Linked DNA regions of Callithrix jacchus. The protein of the gene in region 4 purifies or fractionates together with the protein of the main gene of each other region. This does not show direct contact. Links are inferred from orthologs where the notes say so. Each region holds a gene or a part of one and is shown on either strand. Other genes may lie near its edges.

The links.
Region 1: the proteins of FGFR1OP2 (region 4) and SLMAP purify together in Homo sapiens (affinity purification with mass spectrometry; 3 studies listed by BioGRID and IntAct, with this or other methods). This does not show direct contact. The link is inferred for Callithrix jacchus from reciprocal best matches to the Homo sapiens genes FGFR1OP2 and SLMAP.
Region 2: the proteins of FGFR1OP2 (region 4) and STK24 purify together in Homo sapiens (affinity purification with mass spectrometry; 4 studies listed by BioGRID and IntAct, with this or other methods). This does not show direct contact. The link is inferred for Callithrix jacchus from reciprocal best matches to the Homo sapiens genes FGFR1OP2 and STK24.
Region 3: the proteins of FGFR1OP2 (region 4) and PPP2CA purify together in Homo sapiens (affinity purification with mass spectrometry; 4 studies listed by BioGRID and IntAct, with this or other methods). This does not show direct contact. The link is inferred for Callithrix jacchus from reciprocal best matches to the Homo sapiens genes FGFR1OP2 and PPP2CA.
Region 5: the proteins of FGFR1OP2 (region 4) and STRIP1 purify together in Homo sapiens (affinity purification with mass spectrometry; 3 studies listed by BioGRID and IntAct, with this or other methods). This does not show direct contact. The link is inferred for Callithrix jacchus from reciprocal best matches to the Homo sapiens genes FGFR1OP2 and STRIP1.
Region 6: the proteins of FGFR1OP2 (region 4) and PPP2R1A purify together in Homo sapiens (affinity purification with mass spectrometry; 5 studies listed by BioGRID and IntAct, with this or other methods). This does not show direct contact. The link is inferred for Callithrix jacchus from reciprocal best matches to the Homo sapiens genes FGFR1OP2 and PPP2R1A.
Region 7: the proteins of FGFR1OP2 (region 4) and STK26 purify together in Homo sapiens (affinity purification with mass spectrometry; 4 studies listed by BioGRID and IntAct, with this or other methods). This does not show direct contact. The link is inferred for Callithrix jacchus from reciprocal best matches to the Homo sapiens genes FGFR1OP2 and STK26.

The regions. Positions count from the first base shown.
Region 1 is NC_133516.1:39,559,933-39,563,444, forward strand, and holds the start of SLMAP (sarcolemmal membrane-associated protein), read left to right. Parts: upstream 1-1,500; 5' UTR 1,501-1,854; coding exon 1,855-2,052; intron 2,053-3,512. Other genes in the region: uncharacterized protein LOC144579547, read right to left, coding at 511-1,500. UniProt on the Homo sapiens protein: Associates with the striatin-interacting phosphatase and kinase (STRIPAK) core complex, forming the extended (SIKE1:SLMAP)STRIPAK complex.
Region 2 is NC_133502.1:14,170,682-14,174,181, forward strand, and holds part of STK24 (serine/threonine-protein kinase 24), read right to left. Parts: intron 3,421-3,500; coding exon 3,235-3,420; intron 699-3,234; coding exon 553-698; intron 1-552. UniProt on the Homo sapiens protein: Serine/threonine-protein kinase that acts on both serine and threonine residues and promotes apoptosis in response to stress stimuli and caspase activation.
Region 3 is NC_133503.1:74,131,582-74,135,081, reverse strand, and holds part of PPP2CA (serine/threonine-protein phosphatase 2A catalytic subunit alpha isoform), read right to left. Parts: coding exon 3,476-3,500; intron 2,326-3,475; coding exon 2,236-2,325; intron 1,749-2,235; coding exon 1,587-1,748; intron 107-1,586; coding exon 1-106. UniProt on the Homo sapiens protein: Catalytic subunit of protein phosphatase 2A (PP2A), a serine/threonine phosphatase involved in the regulation of a wide variety of enzymes, signal transduction pathways, and cellular events.
Region 4 is NC_133510.1:44,307,404-44,311,554, reverse strand, and holds the start of FGFR1OP2 (FGFR1 oncogene partner 2), read left to right. Parts: upstream 1-1,351; 5' UTR 1,352-1,600; coding exon 1,601-1,790; intron 1,791-4,151. UniProt on the Homo sapiens protein: May be involved in wound healing pathway.
Region 5 is NC_133508.1:147,887,808-147,891,948, forward strand, and holds the start of STRIP1 (striatin-interacting protein 1), read left to right. Parts: upstream 1-1,341; 5' UTR 1,342-1,355; coding exon 1,356-1,535; intron 1,536-4,141. UniProt on the Homo sapiens protein: Plays a role in the regulation of cell morphology and cytoskeletal organization. Required in the cortical actin filament dynamics and cell shape. Part of the striatin-interacting phosphatase and kinase (STRIPAK) complexes.
Region 6 is NC_133523.1:45,575,234-45,579,424, forward strand, and holds the start of PPP2R1A (serine/threonine-protein phosphatase 2A 65 kDa regulatory subunit A alpha isoform), read left to right. Parts: upstream 1-1,391; 5' UTR 1,392-1,465; coding exon 1,466-1,543; intron 1,544-4,191. UniProt on the Homo sapiens protein: The PR65 subunit of protein phosphatase 2A serves as a scaffolding molecule to coordinate the assembly of the catalytic subunit and a variable regulatory B subunit.
Region 7 is NC_133524.1:127,632,449-127,635,948, forward strand, and holds part of STK26 (serine/threonine-protein kinase 26), read left to right. Parts: intron 1-350; coding exon 351-413; intron 414-494; coding exon 495-631; intron 632-1,685; coding exon of another isoform or gene 1,686-1,710; exon of another isoform or gene 1,711-1,741; coding exon 1,742-1,787; 3' UTR 1,788-3,500. UniProt on the Homo sapiens protein: Serine/threonine-protein kinase that acts as a mediator of cell growth. Modulates apoptosis. In association with STK24 negatively regulates Golgi reorientation in polarized cell migration upon RHO activation.

The DNA.
Region 1 (3,512 bases), on a different chromosome or scaffold from region 4:
AGCAGAGGGGAGGATGGTCCTTCGGTTAGGCGAACATCCTAAGACTTGAGGGAATTTGGCTGCTCACACTTAAGGTGGCTGCGGGCGACTCTGTTGCCCACAGCTAAGATGGCTGCTTATGACCATCTCCTTTGGCCGCCTCTGCTTTTTGCTCACTAGTATTTTCATCGAGGATTAAAGCGAATAAAATTTAGCAAAGGTTGGCATCTCCTTTCCAAGTAGATAAAATAAGAAGGTGGCACGGTTTGTTTCGAAAATCTTCTAGCGCGCGAATTGTTCTTGCCCTTAACGAAAATGGTCGTTGTGGTTGTCCCGAGGTTTGAAGCTTCCAGCCCTTAAATAAGATGGCGCCTAGAGGCGCGTTAGAAATTAGCTTGCCCGTTTTTCTGCCCTCGACCAACACGGCTTCCGTGGCGTCGCTCACGTGACATTCCTGGACTACGGCGCGGGAGAGGGGGTAGGAGGGCCCTTGAAGGGAGCGCGTTCCCGTGGCGGTGTACCCGGTAGGTTTCAGTCAGAGTCACTATGGCGGCCGGCGCTGGCAAGGTAAGCTGAGGCGGCGGTGGCGGCTAGGGAGGTAGAACCCGTCGTGGCGTCCTGCCTCCAAATCCTCGCAGCCCGCTTGTGGAGAGGTCGGCGGAGGTCATGCCTAGCGGTGGGAGCTGGCGGGGGTCTGGCTGGAGGGGGCGAGGGCTGAGGCGGGCGGGCTGAGGCGCCTGACGGCCGTTTGTTTTGATATTTTCCCCACCAGGTCGGAAAGTTTCCTGCCTCGTCCGGCGCAGCTTGAGCTTGCTCCATTGGCCGTGATCGGTGGAGGCTGCGGCGGACCCAGCCCGGGGCCTCCAGGCCTCTCCCTAACCTCCGGGCCAGTCTCCCTCCCCCACCTTCTCGTCCGCCCGGAGCTGCGACTGCTGTCCCTGAGATGCGACCCTCGCGGGGGCGACCCTGAGGGGAGGCGGCCCATGTGCTGAGCGGCGGCGACCAGGAGCCCAGGCGTCCGGGGACCAACTTCCTGCCGCCCGAGAACCCGAACCTCCCGGTGTCGCGCCTCGCTCGGTCCGCACCGGCCTGCGGAGCCGGGTCCCCGCCCTGGTCGCGGGGACACCCGCCAGGTGCCCAGGAGTCCCGACTTGGCCACTGCTCGCGCCCCGCCGGCCCCCACGCCTCGCGCTGAGGACCCCAGGCACTGCCGCCTCGCCACGCCGGGGACCGAGTCCCCCTTCCCGGGGCGGCCTCCGCGCAGCAGGGGCGATGCAGACTGTCCCGCCGGCCGTTTAGAGCCCCTCCGCCTCCGTCACCTCTCGCCCTCCACTCCGGGCGAGCACGGGCGGTGGCTGCCCGGAGGTGCCCGGCCACACCTTCCTTCGGCCCAAAAGGACTTTCCTGGCCGCGCCGAACCACGACCCTTCCTTCATGCTGCAGTGCTGCAGCGTTTCCGCCACCGAGGGGGAAAAGCGGCCGCGATCTCAAACCAAACACAAGAATTGGAGTGTGACTCATCTGCTTGGATACCTCCAGTCCCCAAACTGTGCTCCAGGAGTTTTCTTGGCCGAAGCTGCCCGATGTTTGAGCCGTTTCTTCCCAGAGAGGAAGATGGACTGAAAGCTGCCCGTTGGGGACTTTTCGTGATTAGGGCACTGCTGGGTTTTGGAGGAGGTGATGGGGCTTGCGCTGGCTTGTCTTCCCACCCAAGTGAAGAGTTGTTGATGTTCACTGGTTATGCATAGACAATGTGCAGTTTGTTTTAATTTAAAATTTTGGGTGGGATAGGGGTATAGGCTTGTGAAGGGCAGCCCGGATCCGGAGGAACTCCTCTTTGTCCCTGGTAGGAGAGACACCCCAAGCCTATCCTCGATGCCGTCAGCCTTGGCCATCTTCACTTGCCGCCCAAACTCGCACCCGTTTCAGGAGCGTCATGTCTACCTGGACGAGCCCATCAAAATCGGCCGTTCAGTGGCCCGCTGTCGACCAGCGCAGAATAATGCCACTTTTGATTGCAAAGTGCTGTCAAGGAACCACGCTCTCGTCTGGTTTGATCACAAGACAGGCAAGGTAATGTCACCACCACATTGTCCAACTGCATTGTTTAACAAACTCCTCCCCCACCCCACCTTTGCCCTCCCTGAAAGGCCTGACTTTTGCAGGATCCCAGGCTTTGCATCCACAGGAGGCTTTGCGCAAAGCCAGGAATCAACTGTTTGTGTGCCTGGTTCTAGTGGAAATTTGATTGAGGTGGTTGAATGGAAAACAGAGAAGGTATTGTAATTAAAAGCCTCAGGAGAGCTATGGCATCTTGATAACGTAGTCATTCCCAGAGAAATCCCAAACTAGATTGTGAAACTTGGCGTCTTGCTTTCAGTCTGTTGAGAAAGGTGAATTCACAGTTCAGCTCTTTATTAAGCAAGCAGCAGTTCTCAAAGCAATTCGGGGAATCCGTGGCCATTATTACCCTGGTGCTCAGGTGTCTTTGTGGTGAAATGTAGTTAACACATAGCTTTAGTTGAGTTCAGATCAAGACCTTTCTAAGTAAGGACAGTTGCTGGTGTAAACCTAAGATTTTTGAAAGGTTTGCTATATACTTGCTCTTGAAGGAATCATTTGCAATAATCAAAGCTAATTTAATTAAGCATGAGAACTGTACTTTATATATATTGAGAGTTTTTTTTACAAGTTGGTTGCACATACATATATTGCATTTGAAAATCACTTTTTGATGTTCCCTGCAGCACTTATTAAGTACTTATTGCATACTTACAGAGGTGCTATGCAAAAGTTAGTGTTAGGAAGTGAACTTATTTTCTGAAATTACACCCTAGTCTTTCAATTATAGTGTTACTTAAATGTGATAGGATGAATTCAGTGCTTTTCATTTTAAGTGTAACCATTTTTAGCATTTTTGCGTTAGTATCATGACTTACTATACATGTATGAGCTTTTAAGAATGAAGAAAAAAGATAGGATCATTTCCATTTTTAAAAACTATTTATGTTTGTGGAGAGTATACTAAAGAGCTCGTCTTAGTGCCTAAACCTCAGGTTTTTAGCCGAGCTACTGAATCAGTTCCAACTTTAAGTTATGTAAGACTAATAGGACTGTCTCAGGTTTCACCTCCTGACTTTTTGCCCCTTCTTTCTGAGTTAAATAATTAAATCTTTCTTAAAGGAAGAACTTAAGTCTTCAAGAATATGTTTTGAAGTGAAAGAAACCTGAGCCTCAAAAGGAAGAGAAAAAAATGATAACTTTGGCAGCTACTGATTTAAGGAAATATTTTATTATTTTTTAAAGAAAGGAGGAAAAGACTGTCCGAGTTATGTGTGCTCCATAATATCTATATTGTGTGTGTAGCATGAGAACTGAAGAGTATGTTAACTTTTCTGTGTAACACCAGTTCCTCATTTACCTGTGGAACAGACCCTTCCCCCAAGCTGGTTAGGGGTGCCTAAAATACTTCATAGATTACTTGATATACATATATATATTTTTTTTTTTTTTTTGACAGATTTTTACTTGCA
Region 2 (3,500 bases), on a different chromosome or scaffold from region 4:
ATGAGTTCCCAGGCTCCCACTTCCTGACACATCCCTGGCCCGACTGCCTCCCCAGCCTTCCCCACACAAATGGCTGCAGCCCCACTTTGCCTCTGATGCCAAAGGAATTCCTAGATGCCGAACTTGAAAGCAGTTCTCCGTAAGTCACTTCCTGGTACAGAGCTTCTACCAGACTCAACAGGGAATCACAAAAACATGCATTTCTAGCCTTTCAGGTATTCATGTGATACAATTTCACCTTGTCAGGATTTTAAGAACATGAAGTGTAATGGAAAACAAGACAGAACAGAAAGAAACAAAACAGAACACAGTGAAACAGCCAGGTCTGGACCCCTACGCACAGCTCTAAGAGTTCCCTCGAAGAAACTCCACTGACAACATCAAGAGGCTAAATGATGCCCAAACAGGCCCATGCTGTGTCTAACACAACAATCGCCACCAACCTGGATTATCTGAAAAAAACTCAACAAGAAACGAAATGCACACCAAACAAGTGACAAGGACCAGCGGCTCCATCCTACACCATGCTTGGGCCACCCAGGGGCCACTTACGCATCAGAATCCTCAGAGCTTGAGTCCTCATGGCTCTGCTCCGCCTTCCATCTCTTGTACCTGTCGATGAGCTCGGTCAAGTAGGAAGTTTTCTTTGCATTGCGTAGGATAAACTTGTGCTTCAGTAACTCCCTAGCAGTGGGTCTCTGGAAAAACACACACAACAACCCAAGTATGAGATGAAGCTCTCCATCCCCGCCGAAAGGACACACTTCAGCCTCAAAACATCAGCCTGCCTGATGACTGGACTCCACTCCACAGCTCTTCTCACTGTGACTCGCCCCAAGATGAGAGTCTCAGGACCTACGCCTGGACTCCGGGTGCTGTGGTGGGCATGGCACTGAGTTTCCAAGGAGGTCCTTAATATTCTACAGGTAGCCATCCAATGAAAGCACAAGAACTTCCCCCAGATAAATGCACTTCCACAGAAAACTCTGCACAGAACTTCAGAGGGATTATTCATGAGAGCTTATCTCCTAATTTATAAAATACTTTATGACAAATGCTGACAAAATACTTGTTCTGTGTCGCTTTTACTTTTTGTTTGAGACAGAGTCTTGCTCTGTTGCCCAGGTTGGAGTGCAGTGGTGAGATCTCGGCTCACTGCAACTTCTGCCGCACAGGTTCAAGCGATTCTCCTGCTTCAGCCTCCTAAGTAGCTGGGGCTACAGGAATGTGCCACTACACCTAGTGTATTATTTCTATTTTTGCAGAGATGGGGTTTCACCATGTTGGCCAGGCTAGTCTCAAACTCCTGACCTCAGGTGATCCACCCTCCTCAGACTCTCCAAGTGCTAGGATTACAGGCATGAGCCACCGTGCCTGGCCGCTTTGTTAACTTTCTGTATTAATGTTTGACCACATCCAGACACATAATAGAAATGTCAATTTGGAATTATCTCAAAGAAACCATAAGGGAGCCAGCAGATGCCCTTTTTCCTGTCTGTTGAAAGAGCGGGGTGCTCTTCATCACCCACTGTCCCAGTTTAGAAAGGCTGTTGCCCAGGTCCCTCCCTTCCCTTGTTATTGGGCTGAGGACTTCACCCATGCCCTGAGCTCAGCATGGCCACCGCAAGCAGCACCCAGCCAGCTACCTGCCTTGAAGATGGTGACAGTGATAGGGAATGTGCTTCCCAAGGAAACCAGCTTGGCCCAAATTGGAACAGACAGAAGGAACACCCAAACCCCAAGTCAAACCAAGATCCCACTCACTCCAAACTACGAAAGCTTGATTACAAGAGTCAAGCACATTTTCAGATTCAAACTCGTGAGAAACCTGATCACCTCAGGTATTCTCCCTCTCTGTCCACATGAGGGTAAAACCCCAACTACCCCTGAGGTGCTCATATTCTCGCCTCTCAGCCGGCTCCTCAGTAGCTGTAGGGTGGAGCGGTGTGTGCTGGGGAATAAGCTCGTATTAGACGCATGCTGTGCATGGGAAGGCATGCCTGCAAGCGGCCGCATCTCCACCAGTGCATGGTGGGTGCAACAAACATCATCATGCAATAAAATGCAGAGCATCATGGCACGTGGGACAAGCCTCACCACTACCTCACGCTGATGGGGTGATCAATCACTGGCGTGGTGGTCTCCGGCTGCATCTCCTTAGAGGTGCTTAGAAAATGTTGCATTCTGGCCAAGCACGGTGGCCCACACCTGTAATCCCAGCACTTTGGGAGGCCGAGGCAGTGGATCACGAGTTCAGGAGATCGAGACCAGCCTGGCCAACAAGGTGAAACCACATCTCTACCAAAAATACAAAAATTAGCTGAGTGTGGTGGTGCACGCCTGTAGTCCCAGCTACTCAGGAGGCTGAGGCAGGAGAATCCCCTGAACCCAAGAGGCGGAGGTTGCAGTGAGCCAAGATCACGCCACTGCACTCCAGCCTGGTGACAGAGTGAGAATCCGTCTCAAAAAAAAAAAAGAAAATATTGCATTTCCCACTTAATTCCTTTACCAAAACCGGTGTATTAGAAAACCACGGTGCTCTTGTAAAAGTAACCACCCATTTTTAATTAAGAGTTAGGAAAAGGGGTGCTCAGATTGGCCTTCAGCTGGAAAACTCAAACAAATCAATGACATACGGTGCTGCATCCAACACCGACACACACTGACAACTTTCAAATAAATGTCCTAATTCAAAGAGAAAACAGGGCAAAGCCAGGCAGTCGTTACTGCTGTAAGGCTCTGCCAGAGTCCATTAAACCTAAAAAGAGAAGTGGGCAGGAAGAGGCGGGGATAGCAAAGAGGGGCTTGGTTGTATTTGTATTTTCTAATCTTTTGTTTCCTAACATATGCCATCTGGAAATTGAAAACATTTACTTTAAAGACATATTTAGCCACTTATTTCCAAGCTAAACTTTCCCATTCCTAAAAACAGTGTAACAGTTTATGGCCTGATCCTCTATCGATATTAAACTTTGATGATTCCACATTTAATATTAAGGAGAATATTCTTCAGATTCAATGAAGTATGAGATGGTAGAAATCTAAAGCAAAATAAGGAAATTGCTAATACTTATAAAATGTATTTGCAAACCAAAGAGGTCAATCATACTTATTTATAGAAAAAGAAAAATGAGGAATTCCATGAAGACAGCTGAAAAGAAATCCCAACAGGATGTATCTAAACCAAGTCAAAACTCACATAGGGAGGGATGTTCAGATCCCCAGGAAACTTACAAAGCTCGGCTCCTTATTCAAACAGGCCTCCACAAACTCCTTGAGGGGTTTGCTGTAGTTTCCTTCCAATGTTGGTGGGTTGTTCTTTGGAATGAGGAATAAAACTTTCATGGGGTGCAGCTCGGAATGAGGTGGTTCCCCTCTTGCAAGTTCAATAGCTGTTATGCCCAGGGACCAGATATCTGCCTGCAACAAGAAAAGCACCTTTACCAACACCAAGCAGGAATCAATTCCAATTAACAATATTTAGGGGAAAAACGGTAAAC
Region 3 (3,500 bases), on a different chromosome or scaffold from region 4:
GAGTATCATCAAGTTCCATGATTGCAGCTTGGTTACCACAACGATAACAATAGTTTGGAGCACTGAAAATCGTTACTACATTCCGGTCATGGCACCAGTTATATCCCTACAAGGAAAATGAGATAAATATCTTACTTTACTCCCTTATTTACAACTAAATGTTACTTCACTCAAGGGAAAATCTCTACTCATTCCCACCCCTGCCAAAGAGGCTTAAGAAACATTAATGCTTTTTTTCTGGATGACTTATGAATTTGCGGTAATAATAATCCCTTTTCATACAACCTGTAAATATCCCTTATACAATCTGTAAATAACCCTTTTTATACAACCTGTAAGACACACATGTATTTGTTTTTCCCCTAATTATAAAACTCAGTTTTTTAGTACTAAAAAGGAAAAAAAAAAAAGCCTTTAACAAACAACACCAACCACCGAAGAATAAACTGCTTCTTATGCATCTGACTTGCTGAAAATGGTAGTGTCTCATTAGCCTCTTCTACTGCAGTGGCCTTAAAACCTGATTTAAGAATAAGTATTTATGTGGCCATTCCCTAGAGAGGTAGACACCTAATCCTGGAGACCATAACCTCACTAATTTTCTTGTCATAGGTAAAGGCCTATTAGTGTGTGGTTCACTGCCCAGGAACAAATGAGACATGCCTCTAGTCTTTCCAGCCTTGCTTCCTCAAAGTCCATCCATCTGAATGTACGAGCTACTTCTGTTACTTTTTGTTTAGTACTGTTCACAAATTTATCTTTAGCAAAGTCAGATTTTATCAATACCCACAGAGTTATACTAGTATTAAACTAATTAGGACTTTATTTTTTAAAATATGCTCATCAGTGTGCCATGTCAAGAACCTTAGCCTTGGTCAGGCACGGTGGCTCCCGCCTGTAATCCCAGCACTTTGGGAGGCCAAGGTTGGTGGATCACAAGGTCAGGAGATCGAGACCATCCTGGCCAGTAAGGTGAAACCCCGTCTCTACTAAAAATACACAGATTAGCTAGGCATGGCAGTACATGCCTGTAATCCCAGCTACTTGGGAGGCTGAGGCAGGAGAATTGCTTGAACCTGGGAGGTGGAGGTTGCAGTGAGCCGAGATGGCGCCACTGAACTATAGCCTGGCAAAAGAGCTAGACTCCATCTCAAAAAAAAAAAAAAGGAACACTAGTCTCTTTCCAATCACCTGTAATCCTACTAACCAAAGGACCATTTAAAACATTTTAGTGTATTTCTTTCCAGTCTCTCCTACACACATACATGTTAAATATATGGAATAAACAGTGGGATAATAAAATATTATACACACACTCCAACTCCCTACATCTTACTTTCCCACTCTTAAATCCCAAAGCACTTCCATTCAGAATTCTCTGAAAACATGTTAATGGTTAATTAATTGTAATCAAAAGCTTGAGCTTTTAATTCTTGTGTGCCATCTACTGAAAAGGCTCAGGCTGTAACGGCAAACTCATCAGAAGGAATAAATGGAATTTCTCACAAGTCATTAATTTAAAATTCCCTAATATCTTTCCTTAAGTTTACTAAGAAGCAAGTCGTATTTCAAAGAACAGAGCATACCTCCATCACTAGCTGGTGAGCTCTAGACACCAACGTGAGGCCATTGGCATGATTAAATGTCTCAGATATATCTTGTCCAAAGGTGTAACCAGCTCCCCGAGGAGATATACCCCAACCACCACGGTCATCTGGATCTGACCACAGCAAGTCACACATTGGACCCTAAAAAGTAACTTCAAGTTATAAACTGCCTTTAACAAACATGGTTAACACAGTATTTGAGTAATTTAACAGAAGCAGCACCTAAGTCACCCTTTTTGAGTGATGTTTGTGGAAAATGCTAATAGATTGTACAACTGAAGTCACACATCTGCATCAAATAAGATGTATTTTCTAGCAGTCTTTATGAGACACAGCTGACATCCATGGGACCCAACAGCAACATGCCCTATTAATCTGCCTATATTATGCAAATTTCAGAGCTATGAAACAGACAACCTAGGTCCTAATAAACCAAGCTCCATAGCTATTGTGATCTTGGCAGATTTCTTAATGTCAGCTTCTTCTGAACAGGGCAGAAAGAATGCTCACACCTCAAGTTGTTTTTGAGAATTAAATGAGAGAATACATATAATGAACTAACTTACAATTAAACTTCTCCACTCCCTAAAATCTTTTCAGAAAACGTATTATCAAATAAAAGTCATACCTCATGTGGAACTTCTTGTAGGCGATCAAGTGCTCTGATATGATCCAGTGTATCTATAGATGGCGAGAGACCACCATGTAGACAGAATATCTGAAACGAGTGGTTTAAAATGTTAACCTCACCTAAAAAATTGGTAAACATTCTTGGCTGGGCACAGTGGCTCATGCCTGCAACCCTTTCGGAAGCTGAGGGAGGAGGACTGCTTGAGGCCCAGAGTTTGAGACCAGCCTGGGCAACACAGCAAGACCCTGTGTCTCTATAAAATTTTAAAAAACTGAGCTGGGTGCCCCCATCACTGGGCCCCACTGGTGTTTCTGAGCTCTGCCTGAATGAGGGTTGACTCTGCAGGGTACATCTTTGCTCCAGCCCACTCTGAACTACTGAGTACACTCCCATTCTTCCTAACAGACCATTGCTGTCACACCCAGACTCCACCTTTAACAGCTCCTTTGAGAAAACTTCTTGGATATTACTCCTACTCCCTGCCAGACACTAACGTCTTCACACTCAAAAAATTTTCTTGTAAGTTCTTTTGTGTACACATCTACCTAAACCAATAATTAGCTCCTTACATCTCCCAGGCTTGTCCAAAAACAGTCTGAGAGGATATACGGGTTACACCATCCACCTCTGTGATCCCACCATATAGTTCAGTGCCTGATATAAATAATAATGCACTTAAAAAACCGGACACAATTATTTGTCAGATTAAAATTTTTTTAAAGTTTGAATGAATGTTATCAATTTCTACTAAACTATATTCCCAAAGTGGTGTAAGAGTGGAGTCAGCTGGGTACAGTGGCTCACACCTGTAATCTCAGCACTTTGAGAGACCAAGGCAGGTGGATTACAAGGTCAGGAGTTCAAGACCAGTCTGGCCAAGATGATGAAATGCTGTCTCTACTAAAAAAAATACAAAGAAATTAGCCGGGGACCTGGAATCCCAGCTACTCAGGAGGCTGAGGCAGAGAATTGCTTCAACCCAGGGAGGTGGAGGTTGCAGTGAGCAGAGTGTGTACCACTGCACTTCAGCCTGGGTGAGAGAGGAGGGAGGGAGGGAGGGAGGGAGGGAGGGAGGGAGGGAGGGAGGAAGGGAAGGAAGGAAGGAAGGAAGGAAGGAAGGAAGGAAGGAAGGAAGGAAGGAAGGAGAGAAAGAAAGAGTGGAAAGGGTCATGAGCACCTCAACATTAAAGAAAGCAGAGTCTGAAATAACCAGCAAGGAGTTTTAAGATCCACATACCTGCCCATCCACCAAGGCAGTGAGA
Region 4 (4,151 bases):
ACAGGGGACTGTGCTTTCCCCGATCATCTCCTAGCACACCGGTCCTTCCCAGGCTTCCTAAGTGCAGGAGCGCGCGTGCGCGTGCACACTCTCACACACTAGGGCTCGCGCGTGCGCACAGCGCTCTCCGATGGACACCCCCACCACCCCACCAAGCCTCCCTTCCCCCTCGGAGGGCCAGGCGCCTCAGTCGCCGAACAGGAAGAGGGCGGGGCCAAGGAGAAAAAAACACGCCTCCACCCCTCGAGATTTTCTACCCGCTAATTTTCCCAGTCACCCATTGGGAAGAAGGATCTGGGCGACCTGAAAGCCTCCCAAACAGCGAAGTACCAACCACAGTACTGGCTAAACCAGACACGGCACCCTAAACGTAGGGCCCACCCACTCGGTCTCCCCTTCTCGGTCTCTCCACCCAGGCCGCTTTCCCCTGGAAAAAATCGCGAGACTTTGCGAGAGGCCGAGTGAAAACCTGAGAGGGGAGGACAGGGAGGGACATAAAAGGGCCCCGCCCCGCATGCTCGCGCAAAGCGGCTAGAGGTCGGCTCTGCCTCACCGTAACGCGAGGAAGGAAATCTCGCGAGGCTGGAGTCCTCCGGGAGCGACGGTCGGAGGCGGTCGGCGGAGGTGTCTCCCCAGTCGGTGATGGGGCTGAATACCGCTGGCCTCTCGGCCACCCCCCTGCCACCTCGGTCCGGTTCTGCGTCTGCTCGCTGAGGAGGCGGATTAGGGGCGAGGAGTTTCTTCCCTTGGGTGCATACGTCCGGGTTGGTTGAGGCATTGAGTTGGATCGCCACAGCTGACGCCTGCGAGGGACTAAAAGGAGAGTAAGTAGACTAAATCCAGGGACAGGAGCGGTGGTGGGCGAGTCGCGGGCGTCCTTCATTGAGGCCGGTGCCCTGCGCCTCTAGAACCACCGGCGCCAGCTCCCGGCCGCTTCCAGCCGCGGGCTCCCAACTCCTGGGAGCCGGACTTTTTCTCCGTGTCCCCCGGCTCCGAGCTCCTCTTAATGGAGCTGCGGTTCAGAAAGTTTAATGAAAAGCCTTGGCCCTAACCCTGTGGACACATCTTCCGTATCTGCTTTCTTCCTGCCTTACCCACCTGCGAGCTCACCACCGGACGGGGGACCCTTTCAGTCACCTGTTAGCAGCGTTTAATGAAGATAACTTGTTTCTTGAAACTGCTCTCCAAGGAGCATTACTCTGTTCTGGTTCTCTTCCTGTCGTCCTTCTGTATCCCATCCCTGATAATGGTTCCTTATCTGTCCTGTTATCCGAACTAGAAAACCAGGAATTATTCTTGGTTCTTCATTTCCACTCACTGCACTGTATTATTTTTTCTTTCGCCAGAAATACTCTAGTTGCCCCTTGCCCTACTACACTGGTTTCCCTACTATAATCCTTCCATAGAGTTATTCTAAAATACATATTTATCTCTGTTCTTTCCTTAAACTTTTTAGTAACCATATTGCTGACAGAATCAAATCCTAATTGTTAAGTACATCATCATTCAGGATCTTTTACAGTCTGTCCCAATCCATTTTACCTTTTAGTCTTGCTTTAATATCTGACCATAGCAGATTATACTGGCTGTTTCCTCAAACATGCCATGCACTTTGACAACTCTGTACTTCTGTACGTGCGGTACCATCTGTCTAGAACGCTTACTGTTCCTCTGTTTTACCACCTATCAAAACCCAAATCATAAATTTTTTCTTCTCAGACTCCCGCAGGTGAATGGATACCGCTGTGTTCCCAACGCGTTTGAAACATTTCTTCTGCAGTATTTATTAGGTTGTATTATTTGTTTATGTATCTGTCTCTCCTGCCAATTTGAACCTGGGTCTGGAATCATGTCTTATTCATCTCTGACGAAGAGTCCAATGCTTGGCTCGTAGTAAGCATTATTTATATGTACCTATGTATGCTTATAGAAATGGAATAGTGCTAAAGAATTCACCGTTAAGAGTTCTTCATCTTTTAATATCAAAGAATTTTGGAGCCAGAAGGAACTTTGTGCATTAGCTTAAAGGCCCCTGATCTGTTTTGAATTTAAGAAATCCTACACTTACGCAATTGTACTTTTAGTAATTGTTGATTGAAATTATATATGACAGAAAACTACTATGCTTTTAAATGACTTTGTATTTTATTTTTATAATATCTGTTTATGTTAGAAAAATGGAGCAGAAATGTTTTAGACTACAGACAGTGCTTGGAGTATGTGCATTCAGGCAACTCTTCCACTGACTCATTAGTCTGTAGGTTAGAAATAACTGGTTTAGATTAGGTTAGTTCCTTCCTGAATTGTCATAATTGTTTGAATATGAAACTTAAATTCAGCCACAATTCTAAGGGAACGTGTATTTAAAAAAAAAAAATCCTCCAGCGCCATTACTTCCAAAGTCTTTCTTCCAACTTTAAAAATTAATTGAATACAGTTCCAAACATGTATTCATTGCACTGTTTTCAAGGACAGTGAAAATATTCTTTGCTTTCAGATACAATGATATGCCTGTATCAGTGCTTATTTTTATATGTAATTTGTATGCATCGTTTCTTTCTTATGATTATGTTTCTATGAAAACCATAACTATATTTTAAATTTTTTTATTTTCATATGGGTCAGTTCATATTATGTACTACTTAATATCAGAGACGAATAACTTGAACATGAAAAAAATTTAAACTAGATTCTTGACATTTAAAGACACATCTAGGGTATATCAGTAGTCAGAATATTTCTTTGTATTCCTGTAGTGGTAGGTGTAGTTTACTTGCAGTTAAGGGAAACAGAAGGGTTTCCAATCTGTAAACATTCATTGATCTTATAATTAATGTAATGCCTAATTTAAATGATTGCTAGGCTTTTATTATCTGGAAAACATTCGAAATTTTTTTTATTCTTTAAAAGTTTTCTTATATTTCATACATATTCCCATTTATTTTCTGTGGTTGGCTTAAAAATTTTGACTTGAATTTCCTTAAATTTTTCTTAACCAAAAAACAGCTGGCAATTGCTGTCTTGGGTGGGCGGTGGTTTCTCTTTTATCAGCAGCAGAATGTTCTAAACCTTCTGCCAGAAGTCTGACTGCGAAAGTCTTTGGGTGGTAAAGTGGGCGAGAATATGACTAACACAGAAAAGAAAAAAAATTTTTTTAAACTTGGTTAAAAAAAATTCACTTGTAATTTGAAACTACCTATAGAAAATAATGTAAGTAAGTGTATTATGGCTAGTTAAGATAGGCACTATAAAAACAGGTTGAAAAGTGTAGAATATTCCTTTTTTACTGAAGTTTGTTTATAAAATTTGAAACTTGTTAGAGAGTTTGGAAAACAGTCTTCCTCCTACTCTACTTCCTGGCCAAAAAAGAGGGGAAGCACAATGGTCTTCAAAAAAGGTGATAAAGTAAATGCATATTATAAAATATTCAAACTTTTGTGTGGTTTCACATACAGGAAATGAACATGCAAATTCTTAGAAACTCTTGTCATTGTTTTTCTGAATTGCTAATAAAATTATGCTTTAAGCTATCTGCTGTTTATAATTCCTTTCCCTGAATAGGTAGGTTTTTATAGTTAACAAAACAGATTTTAAATGTAGTTCATTTTGTATTTCATTATGCAGTCTGGAGAAGAGTTTTTCATAAATCGGATGTTAATTACGATTTTTAAAAAGCCCATCCGTAAACATTCATTGATCTTATAATTAACTGTGACACCTAATTAAAATGGTTTGCTAGGCTTTTATGTCTGGAAAACATTTGACTTTTTTTTATTCTTTAAAATTTCATATGCATTCTTATTTCTTTTCTATTGCTGACCCAAAAAACTTTTCATAATATCTTTCATGTTCCGTTTGTGGGGTAGGATGAGGGAATTTGCTTTTTTTCCCCCCACCTAATGAGTTTGAGGTGGTTTCTATATAGGTAAAAAGCAAACAGGACCCTGGGAATTCAACTTGGCTCAAGAATAAAACACCGGACTGGGGATCAGAAGTTCTATTTTTGGGACTAGTTTGGCTCTTTTCTTGCTTTGTGGTGCTATCATTTGGCTTTTTAGATTTGGAATCCATGCATCTATTTCCTCATTGGTAAAATGGATATAAAACTTGTCCTCTTGCCCAAATGACAGTATAAGGTTAGTGTTGCTCAG
Region 5 (4,141 bases), on a different chromosome or scaffold from region 4:
CTAATCTCTTATATTTATTTTTGTTTCTTCTCACAAAGATCATCTTCTTTGGCCAAAGCTCTAGGCTAGCTTCTGTGAGTCTTCTGCCTGACTGGGCCCAACCCCTTGGGCTTCCCTTTCTGGCCTTGTCGAACCCAGTCTGTGCAAGAACGCTCCACTCTTGGTGTCTTAGTCCATTTTTTTGTTGCTATAACAGAATACCAAAGACTGGATAATTTCTAAAGGAAAGAAAGTTATTTTTTGCAGTTCTGGAGTCTGGAGAGCCCAAAGTCAAGGGGTTGGGTCTGGTGAGGACTTTCTTAAACTGCATAGGGAGAGAGCAAGAGCACGTGGGCCAGCTCAGATCGCTCCTCCTCTTATAAAGTCATCAGTCCCCTCACAGGGACCCTACCCTGATGACTTTATCTAATCCTGATTATCCCCTCAAAGCTCCACCTCCAAATACCATCAACATATGAATTTGAGGATTGAGTTTCCAACATATGGAATTTGGGAGACACATTCAAACCATAACACTTGGTATCTGACCACCCTCAATATCTTAGCACCCTATCCTGCTTTCAGCAATAATCCTGTTAGGTCAGTTTAGCAAGAAACTTCTTATCCTTGATGTTTCTCTTAGTAATTTTCTGTCCACTGACTCTCATCCTGCTTTTTGATCATAAATCCCTACTATTTCTTGTTGGAGTCAGAGTTAAGTTCAATTCCTCTTCTTCACTGCAAGGTCTGGTTGTAGCGGTCTCTAGAACTATCACCTGGGCTCTCTGACATAACGTCTGCCTTACCATCTTTAATTAGTTTCACGAGCAAATTTTCCTCTGACACTTTTCAGCATTTATTTCTCTATATTTGTCTATTGTTTGTTGGACCCACCAAGCACTGTTATGTACCATGACTGCAGACACTTGTCCCTCATTTTATCTTAACCGCTTGGCACACAGGAGACATTTATTCAATGTTTGTTGAATGAGTGATTAGCACTCATCACAACTGTAACTCTGTGAAGACTAGGATCCTACCCATTTTGTTCTTTACAAAATACCGCCTAAGACTTGAACAAGTCTTCGATAAGTGCAAAGCGATTTAGAGGAAGGAGGGGTGACTAAACTGACTGAAGAAGCTAAGGGAAGCCTCACAAATACAATTACATTGAAACTGAAACTGAAAGGGAGGAAAACTAAAAAGATCAAGAAGGGAAGAACTGCAGACAGTATCGTGCTGGTCAGCCAAGATGGCTTCTATCGCAGGCCGCCACACTTAATATGGCGACCAGGTAAAGTTCCTGGAGAAAATCACGCGAGAGTTGCATCACGGCGGCTGTCCGCGAAATAAGCTGGGGGTGTGGAGCAGCCAAGATGGAGCCGGCAGCCGGCAGTCCGGGCCCACTGATCGTGAACAACAAGCAGCCCCAGCCTCCGCCACCTCCGCCGCCGGCAACCGCACAGCCTCCACCTGGGGGACCGCGGGCCGGCGCGGGCCTCCTGCCCGGGGGCAAAGCCCGCGAGTTCAACCGCAACCAGCGCAAAGACTCGGAGGTCAGGAGCTTCGGGGGCGAGGCTCGCACCGGGCGGGGGGCGCCGGGGGTCCCGGGCATTGGGCCGCTCTAGGGGCCAGGCTGGGCTTCCCGAAGGGCTCGGTAGAGCCCGGCCGGGAGCTGTCATTATACAGCGAAAGGAGCAGGAAGCGAGGTTGGCAGCTCCTGGGGTCAGAGGCATGAAGCCCGGGTCCCCGCTCGAGCTCCGCCGCCCAGGAGAGCGTCCCGGAGCCTGCGATCGCTGGTTTGCTCTCCTGGGCCCCGGCTGTGGGCGTGGCCTCGAGGCCCCTGACCCTGGGAAGCCTCCTTCACCCCAACTCGCGGGTGGGAATTTGGGGGTCTGCGTGCACTCCAGGGCGCTGGGCGGCCGCGCCCCCAACCTCTAAACCTCTCGGGCCTCTGCCCCTGGTACTGGGGCGCAGGCTCCTGGGTCGTGCCGCGCGCAGAGGACGGCGCGTGTGGGCAGGCAAGGCACCGGCGAGGATCTAGGAGGCACTTAAGGCCAGACCGAGATAGTTATCACTGAGAGTATTGCGCTGCCGGAGGTTCCGAGAGTAGGAGGGGGAAACTATGCCTTGTTCTTCTGACCTGAGCCGGATCGGGCCATGGGTTGACAGTGCCTCTGGTGGGTATTTTGCCCAGTGCGCCTGATACTGAACTGTTAAAGATGAGAAATAGACATTTTAAAACATGCATTAGGACCCAGCATTCCTTCCTCTCTCTCTAGTGAGCAGTTCCTGCCGTTCTGGAGATGGCATAGTCTGGAGCCGACTAGTAACCTCACCCCAAGTTAAAGAATTCCTCCCACTGCCTTCCTCTGCAGAATTCATGAATGAAGATACACATGTCGGGGCGTTTTAGGGCTTCTTAATCAGCACGTTCCCAGAGCACTTACTATGCCATCTCCTATGTTAATCAGCCCCCAAGCGAATCAGCCAAGTTAATGAGAGGGAATTCCTCATTGTCCAAGCATAATGTACTCATAGAGCAATGATACTATCTTTAGACTTGTGAAATCAGTTCCTCACAAGCTTTTGTTTTTGTTAGCAAGCCTAAACCCCTGATAAAACGTGTCAACAATTGGCAACCCCAAAGTAGAAGTAATCTGAGCTTAGAGTGAATAATTTGAAAAAACAAAGAAACTGACCTTTAAGGAGCCCTTGCATGCTAGGATGATGGACATCAGTGGTAACTACTCAGTTTTTCCTTTTTTTTTTTTGAGACGGAGTTTCGCTCTTGTGACCCAGGCTGGAGTGCAATGGCGCGATCTCGGCTCACCGCACCCTCCACCTCTTGGGTTCAAGCAATTCTCCCGCCTCAGTCTCCTGAGTAGCTGGGATTACAGGCACGCGCCGCCACCACCACGCCCAGCTAATTTTTTGTATTTTTAGTAGAGACGGGGTTTCACCATGTTGACCAGGATGGTCTTGATCTCTTGACCTCGTGATCCACCGCCTCGGCCTCCCAAAATGCTGGGTTTACAGGCTTGAGAGGATTACTAAAGTGGAGGGTAGTGAACTTCCTTCATCATGAGAGGAGTTATCATTTTGAAAAACGGTTTAAATTTTCCTAAGTAGCTATGAATGGTCAAATAAATACCCTTTGACGAATTTTAATTTCTCTTTTTACCCCTTAATTTCCACATAGAGGCCGGGTGTGGTAGCTCACGCCTGTAATCCCATCACTTTGGGAAGCCCGGGGAGGGGGGGCGGATCACGAGGTCAGGAGATGGAGATCCTGGCTAACACGGTGAAACCCCGTCTCTACTAAAAATACAAAAAATTAGCAGGGTATGGAGGCACGGGGCCTGTAGTCTCAACTACTTGGGAGGCTGAGGCAGGAGAATCACTTGAACTTGGAAGGTGGAGGTTGCAGTGAGCGGAGAGAGATCATGCCACAGCACTCCAGCCTGGGCAAGAGAGCGAGACTCCGCCTCCAAATACATACATACATACATTTCCGAATAGACTAATTTAATGAAAGACCAGTCAAATGGACACATTTAAGCAGAGACCTGTCTAAATCCATTTCTTTTTTTTTTTTTTTTTTTAAGATGGGGTTTCACCATGATGGCCAGGCTGGTGTTGAACTCCTGACCTTAGGTGATCCATGCACCTCGGCCTCCCAAAGTGCTAGGATTACAGGCGTGAGCCACCGTGCCTGGCTAAATCCATTTCTTTAAAGAGGCTGATGCTGTGATCTTCCTTTAGTCATAGCTGAAATCTGTAGTTGGGAGCTTGATCAGTGAATGCCTGGAGGACAGGGAGGCTGGCATTTTATGAGAGCCCACTGTGTACTACATAATTTTGATTAGTCCTTAAAAATCTTCAAGGTAGGGTTTCATAATTGCCATTCAATGAATGAAGTAACTGAAGTTCAGTAACTTGTGTGAGTGTACACTGTGTTGTCTCTGAACATAGTGTGGAGTTCTTGTTTGTGGGAGTGGTTTTGTTTTGTTTTTGAGACAGGGTCTCCCTCTGTTGCCCAGGCTGGAGTGCTGTGGCTCTATTTCTGCTCACTGCAACCTCCACCTCCTGGGCTCAAGATATTCTCCTGCTTTAGCCTCCCCAGTAGCTGGGATTACAGGTGTGCACCACCATGCCTGGC
Region 6 (4,191 bases), on a different chromosome or scaffold from region 4:
GGCTGAGGCAGGAGAATCGCTTGAACTTGGGATGCAGAGATTGCAGTGAGCTGAGATCGCGTCACTGCACTTCAGCCTGGGTGACAAGAACGAAACTCCATCTCAAAAAAAAAAAAAAAAGAAAAGAAAAGAAAGAAAGAAAAGGCCAGGTGTGGTGGCTCGCTTTAGAAGGCCAAGGCAGGCAGATCACCCTGAGGTCAGGAGTTTGAGGTCAGCCTAGCCCAAAGTGGTGAAAACCCCGTCTCTACTAAAAATACAAAATTTACCCAGCTACTCCGGAGGCTGAGGCAGCAGAATCACTTGAGCCAGGGAGGTAGAGGTTGCACTGTGCTGAGATCAGGCAACTGCACTGCAGCCTGGGCGACAGACTGAGACTCCATCTCAAAAAAAAAAAGAAAGAAAAAGATGCTGGGGGCATTCAGACCTGTCAGAGCGCTAGCTCAGTCCAGCCCTTCAAGCGTAGCAGAATGAAAGAGGAAAGAGCATCCCAGGCCTTCCCATCCCTCCAACTCCCTTAGTTACAGTGGTCCTAAGATTTCAGTGGGTGGGTTGGTGGGGGGGGGGCAATGTGTTTAGGGAGGTTAAAAACAGAGATTAGGCCTGGCTTGATGCCTCGCGCCTGTAATCTGGGTATTGGATACCAGCCGAGGGGTTTGGGTTTCATCCAAAGAGCAAGACAACTGAGCTCAACATAGACTCGGTTCTACAAAAATTTTCTGCAGGCTGAGGCCAGAGGGTCGTTTCAGACTGGGGAGGTCCAGGCGGCAATGAGCCGAGATCGCGCCACTGCACTCCAGCCTGGGCAACACAGCGAGACAATGTCTTTAAAAAAGCAAAAAAAAAAAAAAAAAGATAGAGAAAGAGAGAGAACAGGGCAAGTCACTCCCTTCTCTAGGCCTTGGCATAAAATAAATACAAAGTCTCATTCCGTTCTCCTCCCGCGCAAAGGCGCGGGGGGGGGGCCACTCCGCCAGCCAATGGAACCACGGCTTGATAACCCAAAACCTGCACACCCTACCGCTCCCCACATGACGTCATGTATTACCATCGACGCACGCGCAGAAGCCTCCGGGATTTACCGAAAGGCAGGCTTAGCCTCCTCCCCATCTCGCCCTTCATTGGCTACAAACAACTGCTCGTCTCGGTCGTTGTCAGCGGAGACGAGGGCGGGTACAATGTTGGTCGCTAGGACACCGCTAAGTTCCTCTTTCTCGCTCTCCTAGGCTCAAACTAGTCAAATCTCGTTCAATCGACCAATGGCAAATGGGAAATGGGCGGGACTTCACTAGTCTGGACCAAAGAAACGCGGGCTTAGCCCGGCGTAGCGCGGCCAATGACCATGGAGCAGCCCCTGTAAACTGGCTTGGGCGCCCCCACGCGCGCGTTTCCTCCTCCTCCTCCCAGCTCTGCCCCGGGTTTCAGCACAGCGCTGGCCGCAGTCTGACAGGAACGGGACGGAGCCAAGATGGCGGCGGCCGACGGCGACGACTCGTTGTACCCCATCGCGGTGCTCATAGACGAACTCCGCAACGAGGATGTTCAGGTCCGGAGGCTACGGGGGAGTTAGGGAAGTGGGGAGGGGGATCTTGGGACACCGGCAGCACTCGCGAAGACTCAGCGTTCGCTGGGAGTGGCGGAAGGAAGCGGCGGCCAATCAGTGTGCTTTTCTTACCTCCCCGGGTGCCCGGACTCATTGAGACGGCGCCCCCGATTGGGTGTCGACCCAGCGGAGGGCGGGGGCCAGCGCCAGCCTCGAGGGTCCCGGGCCTGCAGAGTGCGCGCGGTGGCCCTGGGTCCTGGGAGGCCGCGACCTGGGCTACGATCGGTGGGCTGGGTTGGGGAGAGGAGAGAGGAGGACTCCGTGATTGGCGGCGGCTTCCGAATGGTCCCTTGGGGATGTGGGGCGCGCGTGACTTGCTCCGAGTGGGGGAGGGCCGCCTGGTGGATCGGGACCTGGAGAGTTTTTTGTTTTTTTTTTCTTTTCTGGGTTTATACTCCTGGGCCAAGTGGGGACCGAGAGGCGAAAGCCTGCCATCGCAATTCCTGCTTTTCCTACGCTTCTCATTTTGGTGTAGGTGTCCTAAGAGGAGGGGGATGCAGAAACAGCGCCCCCCCCAAAAAGTGGGGACTAGCCAAATTTAGGGGCGAATTACATTGTAGAAAGCTGCCTCCCCACCCCCGGATCCTCCCATTGACCAGGATAGGGGGCGAAGGCTTTGCTAAGCCGATGAACATTTCTTCCTAATTTTTTTTTTTTTTCGATACCGAGCTCGCTGTGTCACCCAGGTGGGGGTGCAGAGGCGCGATCTCGGCTCAGTGCAGCCTCGCCTCCCGGGTTCAAGTCGTCCTCGCGCCTCAGCCCCCTAAGTAGCTGAGATTACCGCCGCGATCCACCACGCCCAACTAATTTTTGTATTCTTAGTAGAGATGGGATTTTGCTTTGCTAGCCAGGCTTGGTCTCAAACTCCTGACCTTAGGCGATCCACCCGCCTCGGCCTCCCAAAGTGCTAGGATTACAGGGGTGAGCCACCGCGCCCGGCCCGGGTGAACATTTCTGGTTATGGGATGAGGTGGCCCAAGGTGGTGTGGGATTGAAAACAGTTAGGACTTCAAGTTCACCTCCCACCCGCTGTGTGACCTTGTGCAAATTATTTCACCGCTCTGGGCCTCTGTCCCATAAAATGTGGGCTAATTGTAGCCCTCGTCTTGCTGGAGGGACTTGTTGAAGGGCTGAATGAATTATGACACAAAGTTGAGTGCTGTCAGGCCTGCCATAAGGGCCGGATAAATATTAGCTGCACTTATTGGGAGTGGTGATTAAAGAGGTCCCATCCTCCCTTTAGGCCTCAGTTTTCCCGTTTATAAAATTGAACAAGTGCACTGGGTAACCTACAAAACGTGGGTCCCATCCCTAGGTTCCTGGTATATCACTTTCTGGTGGCAGACAGACCGTGGTTGTACTCCTGGCCCTTCCACTTCTCACTGATTGACATGGACAAATTAGTTAATCTCTCTAGGCCTCTGTTTGCTCTTCTCTTGATTGGGGATAATTATGTAGTTCATAGGGCTGTTGTATTGAATTTTTTTTTTTTTTTTGAGATGGAGTCTCACTCTGTCGCCCAGGCTGGAATGCAGTGGCATGATCTTGGCTCACTGCAACCTCCGCCTCCCAGGTTCAAGCGATTCTCCTGCCTCAGCCTCCAGAGTAGCTGGGACTACAGGTGCATGTCACCACAGCTGGCTAATTTTTGTATTTTTAGTAGAGATGGGCTTTCACTATATTGGTGAGGCTGGTCTTAAACTCCTGACCTCATGATCCACCCGCCTCGGCCTCCCAAAGTGTTGGGATTACAGGCGTGAGCCACCGCGCCCGGCCGTATGAATTCTTTTGTTCAGTAAACACATGGCGTGTATCAGGTATGATGCTGGGGGTGTAGTGGAGACACCAGTTGCTCTACAGGATCTGCGTGTGAAACAGGCCAACAGAGCTGAATGAAAAGTGATGGGAAGGGAACAAACAGGATGTTGTGGTAGTGAATCCACATTGAATTGGGCGAGTGTTCTGTGCGGGGCACTGTTCTAGGCACTGGTATAGCAGGGAACGAGACAAAAAATCCCGCACTTGGGGAGTTTACCTTGTAGTGAGGAAAGACAGACAGTAAACGAAGAGTATACTGTATTACATGCGGATGAGTGTCAGGGAGAAAAGTAAGAGAGAGAGGAGATGCAGTTTTAAAGTGTAGTCTGGGGAGGCCTTGTTGAGATGATGTTTGAGAACACACCTGAAGGCAGAGGAAGCAGGATTACAAAGTTGGGTGGGGCAGATGCATTTTAAGTAGGCCATTCGGGCAACGCCCCTCTGAGGATGCAGAGTTTGAGAAGAGACTGAAAGAAGGTGGGGAGGAGCCTCCGAGGAAGAGGAAGCAGATGTGTAATGGCCCTTTTTTTTTTTTTTTTTTTTTTTTTCTGGCAGAGTCTCCCACTGTTGCCCAGGCTGGAGTGCAGTGATGCAGTCTTGGCACACTGCAGCCTCCACCTCCTGGGTTCAAGTGATTCTCCTGCCTCAGACTCCTGAGTAACTGGGCATGCGCCACCACCCCTGGCTAATTTTTTTTTCGTATTTTTAGAAGAGATGGGGTTTCTCCAGGTTGACCAGGCTGGTCTCAAACTACTGACCTCAGATGATCCGCC
Region 7 (3,500 bases), on a different chromosome or scaffold from region 4:
TCTGCCTCACTGTGTATGTAGTATGCTTCATTTGTCACTAGTTTTGAACTAATTAAGAAAAGGTAATTGGAAGTTATTTGAGTATATTGGTTTTTTTTAAGTACATTTCACCTGGAGATACATAAGCCCAGGAATCATAGGTATCTATTGTAATCCCAGAAGTTAGAGGTCTTCTGGGACTTCCAGATGTTTAATGGGAATGAGTGATAGGAAGAAAGCTTAGAGACCTGCCTTACATAGAGTCTTTTGTTTTCAGTGGGGATTCAAATTGGTTCATATTTGTTAAAGAATAAGAAAATGAGGACAATTATTTTAAGTTCATGTGTATAATGTATATCATTTATTCAAAGGAGCAAGATCTTGTGCAAACCCTGAGCTGTTTGTCTATGATAATCACACCTGCATTTGCTGAAGTAAGTACAGATTAATTAGCCTTGGATATCTGTTTTAAGTAGTATAATATTTTAAACGTTTTAACTATTAATCATTCTCAGCTTAAACAGCAGGACGAGAATAATGCTAGCAGGAATCAGGCGATTGAAGAACTCGAGAAAAGTATTGCTGTGGCTGAAGCCGCCTGTCCCGGCATCACAGATAAAATGGTGAAGAAACTAATCGAAAAATTTCAAAAGTAAGTTGGAAATGTCATTTAGAAAGTTATTTTGCATTTTCTGTTGGGTGTTAATTTATGATGCAATGTAATTCCCTTGATTCAAACATTCCAATTAGTCATAACAAAGTCACCTTTTAATACACAGTCGTATTCTTAAAAACAGTTTTTGTTTGTTGCCTATATTAAACATTAGCTTTCAGAACTATTATCTTTAGGCATAACAAAATAGTTTTCCACTACATGAAATGGCCTGTTTTTCTTTCTTATCTAGTAGGAGTACAGACAAAAGGTCACTGAGCATATTCTCATTTGAGCTCTTATAAACGTTATTGGGGTATTATTTCGTTCTTGCCACGACCCTCAGAATTTAACAAAACACCACTAGTTGCATAGTTCCAGTGCTAAAGTTCCTGCATTTGACTACCATATGAAAAGTTAAGGAAAAGGTAGAGGGACTCAATCTAGACCAAGAAAAGGCTCTTATGTTCAACTTCAGATTCTGTGCTGTCTCTTGAAATACTTATTTGATTTTGTTCACACTGAACAAAAAGTTCTTACATTTAATTTTTTTTAAATTTTCCACCAGACTTTTGTATGCATGCATACACATACACACTCCTTAGCTCGAGCAAGCTATACGGTGATATTAATTTTAGCCTTAACCCTGTTATATCTCTTCTCAGTGCATCTTCATGTAGCTTTGTGTTTATGATGCCACTGGGATCGAGTTGGAACAAACTCTGTGACCTATGAAATGACACACTCTCAAAGATCTTTCTATCTGATAAGGCTCACTTGTACTTGCAAACCTAACCCCTTCTTAAAATCCCTTATATTTTAACGAAAACCTCTCATTTGTTTTCCAATTTGAAAACAAATCAATCGGAAGTTATGAAATCAGATGCAGAAGGGATTTTTGAATTTGTTTATATTTTAACATCTACATGATGAAATTCCATAGAAATAATATATCCCCTTTGTGGAATCAGTTTCTTCATTGCAGAGTTCACACAAAGGAGAAACATAAACATGCACAGTTGTACATTGGTTTACATTTTTTTTAATTTTACAGGTGTTCAGCAGACGAATCCCCCTAAGAAACTTATTATTGATGTCTGTTTCATACAGTACCAGAGAGACCCACCAAAACTACTTCAAGCTTAACAATGTTTAACTCGTGAGCTCCATGTGCCTTTTGGATCTTTGCAACACTGAAGATTTAGAAGAAGCTATTCAACTATTTTGCGATGGTGTTTATCATTTTATATTTTGAAAGGATTATTTTGTAAGGAATAACTTTTAATACTATAGTTTCACCTGTATTCTAGTAAATGTTGAGACACCGTTTGGCTTTGAGTATCACTATTTCTTAAGTTACTAGGATGAATACCTTTCACGTTTTGACCTTTAGTTAACTCTACACTCCTGAAACATACAGGTCTTTCAAAGTCATTCTAAATATTCAACTTTTGTAAATTATCAAGTTTCAGAAAGCTTATTTGAAAAAAAGCCTTGCATATTCTCAAAATGACTATTGGCGGGAGGTGTAAATAAGTCCTTCTTGAAACAAATGTTTAATAAAGTCTTAGAAATTCAACCTGTGAAATTATCTTCTTAAAACAAATTTTTAATAACGTCTTAGAAATGAAACCTGTAAAAGTATTGACTCTTCTACCAAGTTGGCATGATATTTCAAAGCTCAATGATAATCACATTTGAGACCCTGTGTTTGAAGCATTTACAGGCAACGTACAGCAACAGCGGTACCTCTTGGTGTGTAGTATTTACATTCTCTTTTAGGTAGAAGAGGCAATTTTAACCCTTATTTAACATGGTTAGAAATATAAAGCAAAATCATTTAGCCAAGGATAGGTGTTTGGTAATGTTGGAGGAGTTAGTCTGGCTTCATGTTTTACATCTTCAACTAAAATCCCGTACTATCTATTTGGATTTGGAGAGACTAAAAATAAAGCTGATTGTCATGTGATTAAATACCTGATCAACAGGTATGAATATAACTTATACCAGCATATTTTTGTCATGATAGTGAATTGTCCTATAAACTATTTATATATTTTTGTTCTTCATAATTATCAGTAATAAGCATAAGTTTTTTTTAAAAGGATATTTAAGTGAGCATTTTCTAGTTCATATGAAAATAACCGTATTACAGGATGATTTCTGTCCACACAAAGGCAAGTTAGATTGCACAGTTAATTTTCACTTGTATTTATGGTACTGTAAGTGGGTGATGACTTTTTCTTTTAAGCCCAGTACATATATTATGCCTGCCTAAGTTCTGAACTGGGGCTACATTTCAGTAGTTGTAGAATTATTGATATTAATTAGTTTTGATAGTTAATGTTTTGTTGTTTGGATCCGCACAATTTGGTTTTTGCACAAAAGTCATTTTTTTTAAATCTGAGTAATTGACAAATATTAGAAGAAAGCTATTCCTCCTGTAAGGTATAGTTTTTCGTCAAAGTGGCCATTGCATCCTCTTTTTACATAGCATAGATACTTGAGAAAGTTGTGGTGTTATGTGCCAAGGAAATTCTTTTCATTAGTACCTATACTGTAACAATTACTTTTAATGCATTGTATTTTGAAGTAATGGTTCAGTTAAAATTTTCACCTGCTGTGTAACTGAAACACAATTAGAGTTTATAATCTGTAGAAGTCTGGAAATCATTGTGCAAGTCATGTCATGGGTGAAATGAATATTTTTATAAAAGTAAAAGCAGCAAATCTATAAATTGATTATTTGAAACTTTACAACACAATTGCATCCCAAATACAAATTGTATTGCTTATTCATTATAGCTTTTAGTCCTGTAAACTGTTTCTAGGTGAAGCATACTCCAGTGTTTTGGGGGTTTGGAAAATA